Linked DNA regions of Caenorhabditis elegans. The protein of the gene in region 1 interacts with the protein of each later gene in a biochemical or structural test. Each region holds a gene or a part of one and is shown on either strand. Other genes may lie near its edges. The genes, in order: atf-7 and pmk-1.

The links.
Region 2: of the proteins of atf-7 (region 1) and pmk-1, one has a biochemical effect on the other in vitro, tested with the Caenorhabditis elegans proteins (one study listed by BioGRID).

Annotation. Positions count from the first base shown.
Region 1 is NC_003281.10:4,492,602-4,496,533, forward strand, and holds the start of atf-7 (Transcription factor atf-7), read right to left. Parts: upstream 1,850-3,932; 5' UTR 1,778-1,849; coding exon 1,586-1,777; intron 1,492-1,585; coding exon 1,078-1,491; intron 961-1,077; coding exon 557-960; intron 501-556; coding exon 209-500; coding exon of another isoform or gene 185-208; exon of another isoform or gene 168-184; coding exon 51-167; intron 1-50. UniProt on the Caenorhabditis elegans protein: Transcription factor which regulates the transcription of various genes, including those involved in innate immunity and oxidative stress responses. Binds to promoter regions of genes, probably at 5'-[GACGTCA]-3' consensus sequences.
Region 2 is NC_003282.8:8,146,662-8,150,593, forward strand, and holds the start of pmk-1 (Mitogen-activated protein kinase pmk-1), read left to right. Parts: upstream 1-2,132; 5' UTR 2,133-2,144; coding exon 2,145-2,293; intron 2,294-2,337; coding exon 2,338-2,903; intron 2,904-3,270; coding exon 3,271-3,635; intron 3,636-3,932. Other genes in the region: Mitogen-activated protein kinase pmk-2, read left to right, coding at 392-469, 521-635, 964-1,035, 1,085-1,181, 1,266-1,470, 1,521-1,670. UniProt on the Caenorhabditis elegans protein: Serine/threonine kinase which responds to activation by environmental stress and pro-inflammatory cytokines by phosphorylating downstream targets. As part of a MAP kinase signaling pathway, plays a role in modulation of lifespan and immunity.

The DNA.
Region 1 (3,932 bases):
CGCAAAAAATTATTGTTTTTTTTTTGAAATTCTCAGAAAAGAAAACAAACCTGCTCATCACTCATTGGAACTCCTTTCAGACAAACGCATCGTGACTCTCTTTCAGTAAGCAACGCAGTTACCCTTTCGAGTTCCCGTCGCAGCACTTGATTTTGTGTCTGAATAGCCTAATTAAACGTAGACATCAATACAAGATCTCATTTCTCACCAGTAATTGATTCTTTTCAGCCTCCATTGCTTGAACTCTTCCCATCATATCATCATGTTCTTCCTTCTTCCTCTTACGATATCTCACAGCCGCAGCCTTATTTCTCTCGAGAATTGTATTCCTCCTCTCGTCGGGTTGCATGTCGGCTGTTGTGCTTCTTCCTCGACCACGTCCACGGCCAGGTGTACCGTTTTGTGGACGTCCAACTGGATTTCCAGTACTCGTTGAAGCAGTTGATCCAGCATTTGACATATCTGCAGACTGATCTTGATCAGATCCCGAAGATGACATACTGAAATTAAAAACATTATTCTAAAATTCTAAATTCTCGAAAATTCAAAAACTCACTTGCTCCTTTCCATCAACATCATTGCATCATCATTAAAATATGGAATTTCCTTTTTGATCTGCTTTTCTCCGTTTATATGATCCCAACTTCCATCAGCTGGTGATTTTTGTGTGGATGGAGGTTGTGATGATGCTCCAAGTGGTGAGTGATAGGAGCTCACAGTTTTTGGAGGAACAAGCAGTGTTGTTCCAGGAAAAGGTGCTCCACTTGTAGATGGAATAGCCATCGCATTCGTAAGAACAGATGCTGAATTGGGTGCGGAAGAAGATGGAGAACGAAGGAGTGCCGAGAAATCAGGCTTATTATTCAAATAGTTGATTGTATGAAGTCTATCAGAGTGCATGTCGAGTACCGCGTTTAAAACGTCGGCAGTTCGTGGAGCTTGAGCCGAGAAGTCACCGGCCTGAAAACGTTACTGATAAGAACAGAAACTCTAATTTTTAATCACAAATTTGTCATAATTCTTTCTAAATCACACACCGTAATGACATGATTCTCGATTTTTCGATCAAAAACTCACCACAGATAACAATTTGGAAATGTCCGCGGTTTTCAGATTTTCTCGAGTCGTTCCCTCCGAATCTCCAGCATTTAGAAGCATATTTGAAAATATTCCAGGCGAATGTTGAAGTGATGCTTGTGGTATTTTCAATAAAAGATCCGACATTGTTCCGGCATTACTTCCCGAAAATTGTGAACCTCCATTGGCTTCCAAAGCTTCAAGAGATTGATTTGCACCTGATGTATTTGGTTGCATACTTCCAGAACTGATCTTTTGATTCGCTTCTCGGAACTTTGCTTCGAATGGATTTACTGCTAGACATCGTTGCATTAGTTCAGCGGTTGTTGGTAGATCAAGTGGAGTGAACATTAATTTTGGGTTTGGAGTATCGAGACTGAATGGAGACGTTGTGTCGCCCATCAATTGGACGCGCTGAAAAATAAAAAATTAGAAAATCGGTGTATATGAATTTTAGAAATTTTCGATTTTCTTTTTTAGACTTGATACAATTTTTGCCACATTTTACCTTTCCCACCATCATATTGAAATATTCATTAAGAATCTGAGAAGTTTTCGTCATATCTTTCCCATTTGTCATCGACGTTGGCATAACCATCGGACTTATGAGTGCGGCTGCGGCTGAAGCAACCGCAGATGCCACGTCAAGTTCTCCAGATTCTGGAGGCGACGCTGATGACGTCATCATCGTCGTCGCCATAGACGGTGGTGCTGCTAGAGGAGCAGCAGCAATACAGCTCATCAAATGATTGAATGTTTGGGGCAGCAGAAGCTAGAAACAAGACAAAATGTTCGAATGAATCAGAGAATTCAGAGGGTGAAGAAGTGAAACGGCGAAGAAGAAGAAAAAAAAAGCGAGAAAAGACGGAAATGTTGTGTGCTTTGTTTGACATGATAACCCGGAGGGGTGTGTGTATGTGACATCAATTGACCAATGTCTTTTATCAATTTTCCATCATCGAAACTCTCCACCAAATTGTGAATATTTCGTGAGGAGACCTCAAACAGTCAGGTGACGTCAACAGATCGACAAAATGTTGCAGTTAACAGAAAACCCCAACGAATCGAAATTGGGGGGAAAAACCGCAGAGATCAAAAAATTTGTTGGCGCGAGAAAAAAAGCGGTGGGGATAACTAAAGGAGAGAGAGAGATGGGCGGTACGGAACACTTTTCAATTGTTTCGCACGTCACATGACGATTCTAGTGGTGATGATAGTGACGACGACAAGACGATAATGATGATGATAAAAATGATAGTTACTGTAGGAGGACACTACTAATCAGACAAAGTTTTGATTTTTTCTTTTGTACGTAAATGTTTTCGAGAAACTTTTGTTTTTTCTTCAATTTCACGAAAAAAAACTGTGTCGATTTACGCTGTTCGTGTACTCCTCGAGGAGAAGTGTGAATTGAATTTTTGAAGAAGGTCTTGGCCAAAATTTTTGATTGTTTAAAACAATTTTTGCGATATATTTTTGTATTTGATACCGAAAATCGTGTGAGATCCAGTATTTTAGCCCACACACTTCTCCTCGGGGAGTACACTGGCTGCGTAAATCCACACATGTCCGTGTTAGAGGTTCTCATGGCCATTTATATCGAATTCTCCAGTGCAAAATAGTTATCCAGAGAATTTTTAGAGGTGATGATGGAAAAATAGTTGAGAAACGATTCTGATCAAGGACGAATTGCGAATTTGATGAAACACAAAAAACATGGGGCACACGGAAGAGAAGAAGAAGATCGAAGAACAAATGATAGCGGTGTGGGGGTAAACGCGTACCGAATAAAAGAAACGTTCAGTGAATCAGCCGCATTGAAACATGACGAGAATCGAAATTGATCCTAATCTTGAAGACACACACTAATAGTTTTTGGATCACAGTTTTATTCTCGTCTTTTTCGATTTTCAAAGTTCGGTGTCAAAAAATACGTTACAGAAATATGTATGATATTAAGAACGGTTGGATGGATTAGAAAGAATCAAAAGTTCATGGAGAAGTTGACCATACAATCAAACTTCTCAATATAGAACTTAAAAACTTCCGGCCACGTTCTAACCGAAACTAACCGGGAATTTGTAGAGCTAGAATCAAACACCGTGTAATTGAATTCACTTTTGAATAGGTTTTTAACGAAGAAGAGTGATCACATTGAACCTAATTCGTCGGAAGTCGTTTTATCAATGATAAACGGATTAGTGTGAGCACACGCTTCATTGGAAAAAGAGTCACATGAGAAAAAATAAAGAGGGAGCGGATTTATTAAAAGTTTTTTGCCTGAAATTCATTTGCTGACTAATTGGAAAATTATTCGAGAAGGAGAAAGAAGGAAAATGAAACTGAATTTAAATAGTTGAGGGAAGTCCGAAATCGGTGCAACATGGACGCAATTAAAAATCGTCGCAAAACAGAAAAAGCGCGACAAAAATGACGACGTTGTGAATCTTTGCTGCCAATTTTCGTATCTTTGATATGATAACGGCGGTCGACAAAAATCAGAGAGGCGCTTCTCTTTCGTGACACGATCTTCTATTTTGCCTTTTCTGTCTCTTACGTCATCATCGAAAACTATCAGACTGTCAGATTGAAAAGTGAGAAAAGAGAGGAGAATTGGGTGGTGTCTCCGTGTTGTCCAAAAATGATGTCATCATGTTTTTGTTTGTTTCTATTAAAAAAGAGGATGGAAAATATATAATGTTTTGCACACTGATAGTAGTTATCAAGTGATTAAAATTGTTCAATGCCTAACTTGAAATGAAAACGAGGGTATTGTACTTTTATTTAGACAGAATGTCTCTGAACTATTTAATAAAAGGAATGTTGACAAAAACATTCAACGAGGAAGAGGAAAT
Region 2 (3,932 bases), on another chromosome or scaffold:
AAACTTTTTTCAATCTGAAAATTAAAAAAAACATTGAATTTTGCGTTTTGTGGTAATATATTTAAAATATGAGCTTTTAAATTTATTTTCTGTTTCAGAGAATGGGAAAACTTCTTATAAGAACAGATTTTAACTTGTTGAACATTAAAATACTTTTTAATCTAAACAGTTTGATGTGAACAGTTGCAAATAACGCTTCAGTACATGAGTCACCAAAATTTCAATTCAACTATTATTCTGAAAAAATTAATGCATCCTTTTCAAAGAAGAAACACACGTTTTAGGCTGGTTAAATCTTACAACAGCTTTGTTTCAAATATTTCTTCCAAAAATTCTTTGATCTTTTTCTCCTAATACTCTTTTACATTCAAATATTTTCCTATTCTTGCAGTATATCCATTCGGCAGGGATTATCCATCGCGATTTAAAACCATCGAATATTGCTGTCAATGAGAGATGCGAAGTCAAGGTTTTTCTTAGTTTTTCTCAACTTTCTTTCCTAATTCTTTCATTTTTCAAGATTCTCGATTTTGGATTGGCTCGTGCTCAAGACGCCGAAATGACTGGATACGTGGCAACAAGATGGTACAGAGCTCCAGAGATTATGCTCAATTGGATGCATTATACACAGACTGGTGAGTAAATAAAAGAAATTGGTTTCTATGCACTTAAATAGTCACCTAAAATCTTTGAACTAAATTGTTAAATATCATATGATTTGAGGTTAACTTCTGACATTTTGAAAGCATGTTTCACCTGTTTCTTGTAGTTATGCTAAAACGTGTGAAAATATGAAGAATAAACTTTGACTTGATATTGGTATTTCTGGTTTCTGCAATTCTCTCTCTATTCCAACTTCCTATTTTTTCAAATAAACGAAAAACTTGATATATTTATCACATGAAACAAAAACATCATTTTTTTTTACTTCTAAAAATGTTACCAAAATATTGAATTTTTCAGTTGATGTTTGGTCAGTTGGATGTATTCTTGCGGAACTGGTATCCGGGAGACCATTGTTTCCAGGCGATGATCGTGAGTTTTATTCTATTCCTCTAATACTTTAAATATTTAAAATTTGCAGATATTGATCAGCTAACAAAGATAATGTCAGTTGTGGGTACCCCAAAAGAAGAATTCTGGTCCAAAATTCAATCAGAAGAAGCTCGAAATTATATTAAGTTAGTGTTGCAAATACTTCTGAAATTCAATTACTAGACTAGAACTGAAAAAAAAAATAAATCGTTTACGCAAAAATCTTTCAGAAATCGTTCTCCAATTATCCGTCAGGACTTCGTTACATTGTTTCCAATGGCTTCTCCATATGCTCTCGAACTTCTCGAAATGATGCTAATTTTGGATCCGGACAGAAGAATTTCTGTATCAAGTGCTCTTCGTCATGACTATCTTCGTGAATACTCTGTGCCAAATGATGAACCAGTTGCAATGGATACGGTAATAAATAGCATAGTACGAAATTTAAGTTCGCTTCTCTAAAAGTACTCCAATTTTCTTGTTAGGTCACAATTGATCCAGCTGAAGAACGAGCAACAACGTTATCCGACTGGCGAGAGTTAATTTGGAATGAGATTCGATTATTCCAAAACTCGGCACGAAGACTAAGTTTTGTAAGCTGTACGGATACGGAAGAAGAGCCAATGAAAATATGAAGTCAAATGTGTTCAAGTGCTAAAATATCTCAAAACTGTGGAATTTTCTTTTTTCTATATTGTATCTCCCTAAACTATTTATTTCACTAAAAATCAAATTTGTGTCCCTAATTCCTTGATCTCTAATTATCCAACAATCGATCTCAGATGTTCTTTTCCACAAAATCTCAATTTTTTCCTTTGAAACCATAGACTTGTGATTTACCTTAACTTTCTCGTTAATCCTATAAGTTGCCATGACCTCAGAGCCTCTTTTAATTTATTATTCATTTAGATTCATTTATCAAATTGAAGTGTATAAAGAATTAATGTAAATATTCAATTTTCTAAATACTCTTAAACATTTAATCGGTTCAAATTGCCGCTTAATTTTTATATTTACATTTATATTGGTTTTACGTACACAAAAAAATCATATTTTTTTCAAAATAATTACTTCAAATCTTACAAACATGATTCCAGGTAACGGAGCCAATGTTTCCACAGACAACAATGGATCATATACTTCATCCGACTCCACGAGAAGGATACTATGTCGTTGAGCTTAATCGAAGTGTCTGGGTTGTTCCAAATTATTATATTAACTTGACTCCAATTGGTACCGGAGCATATGGAACTGTTTGGTATGTCATTTCAACTGATTTTTACTTTATTTTTCGATTTTTAGTGCTGCTGAATGTACTCGCTCGGGGACTCGCGTCGCAATCAAAAAATTCAATCGTCCATTTCAATCAATAATTCATGCCCGTCGTACATATCGTGAACTCCGACTTCTTCGTTGTATGTGTCATGAAAATATAATTGATCTACTTGATGTCTTCACTCCAAATGAGAATGTAAATGATATCGAGGATGTGTATTTTGTATCAATGTTGATGGGAGCTGATCTATCAAATATTCTCAAAATTCAGCGACTCAACGATGACCACATTCAATTCTTAGTCTATCAAATTCTTCGTGGACTCAAATACATTCATTCTGCAGATATTATTCATCGAGATCTTAAACCATCAAATATTGCTGTTAATGAGGATTGTGAATTGAAAATTCTTGATTTTGGATTGGCACGTCAAACTGATTCTGAAATGACTGGATACGTGGCAACAAGATGGTACAGAGCTCCAGAGATTATGCTCAATTGGATGCATTACACGCAGACTGTTGATGTATGGTCAGTTGGGTGTATTCTTGCAGAACTTATCACTGGAAAAACATTGTTCCCTGGATCTGATCGTAAGACTTTTTTTCTACAATATTCCAAATATCTTCAATTTCCAAGCAAAAAACCAGAGTAAATATTTATGGTTGTTAACTTTATTGTACACTGGCGTTTCATAACATAGAAAAAAAATCATTTTGCTAAGTTATTCGTACCGTAGCAGGCGGAAAAAATTTATAATTAATTATTACCTCTTATTGCAAATTTTGGTAGTTTATCTCCAGTTGATTTGAGGATTTAGGCGCATTTGTAGTCGCGGTGTTAACTACCAAAATATGGACTAAGATAATTCAATAAAAACAAACAAAACAACAAAAAACAAAACACAAACGTTATTTTCTTTTGAAAATGTAGACTTTTCATTTAAAACTACTGTTTCAGACATCGATCAATTGACTCGTATCATGTCAGTAACTGGAACACCAGATGAAGAATTCCTTAAAAAGATCTCATCAGAAGAAGCTCGTAATTACATTCGAAATCTTCCAAAAATGACTCGCCGTGATTTCAAACGTCTGTTTGCTCAAGCAACTCCTCAAGCAATCGATCTCCTTGAAAAGATGCTTCACCTTGATCCAGATCGTCGTCCAACTGCAAAAGAAGCTATGGAGCATGAATATCTGGCTGCTTATCACGATGAAACTGATGAGCCAATTGCAGAAGAAATGGATTTGAATGATGATGTAAGGGCAGATACAATTGATGAATGGAAGAAAATTATTTGGGAAGAGATCAGTGATTTCCAGGTAATATATATTTACACTTGTTTTTGAACCAACTAATTATGCATAAAATCAAACGAAGGACACCCCCAGTGGGTTCATTTTGTGATCAAAATTCATTTCCGACTGTCAAAAACGTATCAATTTAAGCGGTTATTATTTAATTCGAATACTTTTGAAATTCTATAAATAACCTATACTACTCTAACGTTGAGTTACACCTAACCCAAACCTTTACACTTTGTTATGAAATTGATATGAATGATAAGGATGATTCAGTGCGGGGGGTTAAGTAGAAACGAGACATGAGTCATATTCAAT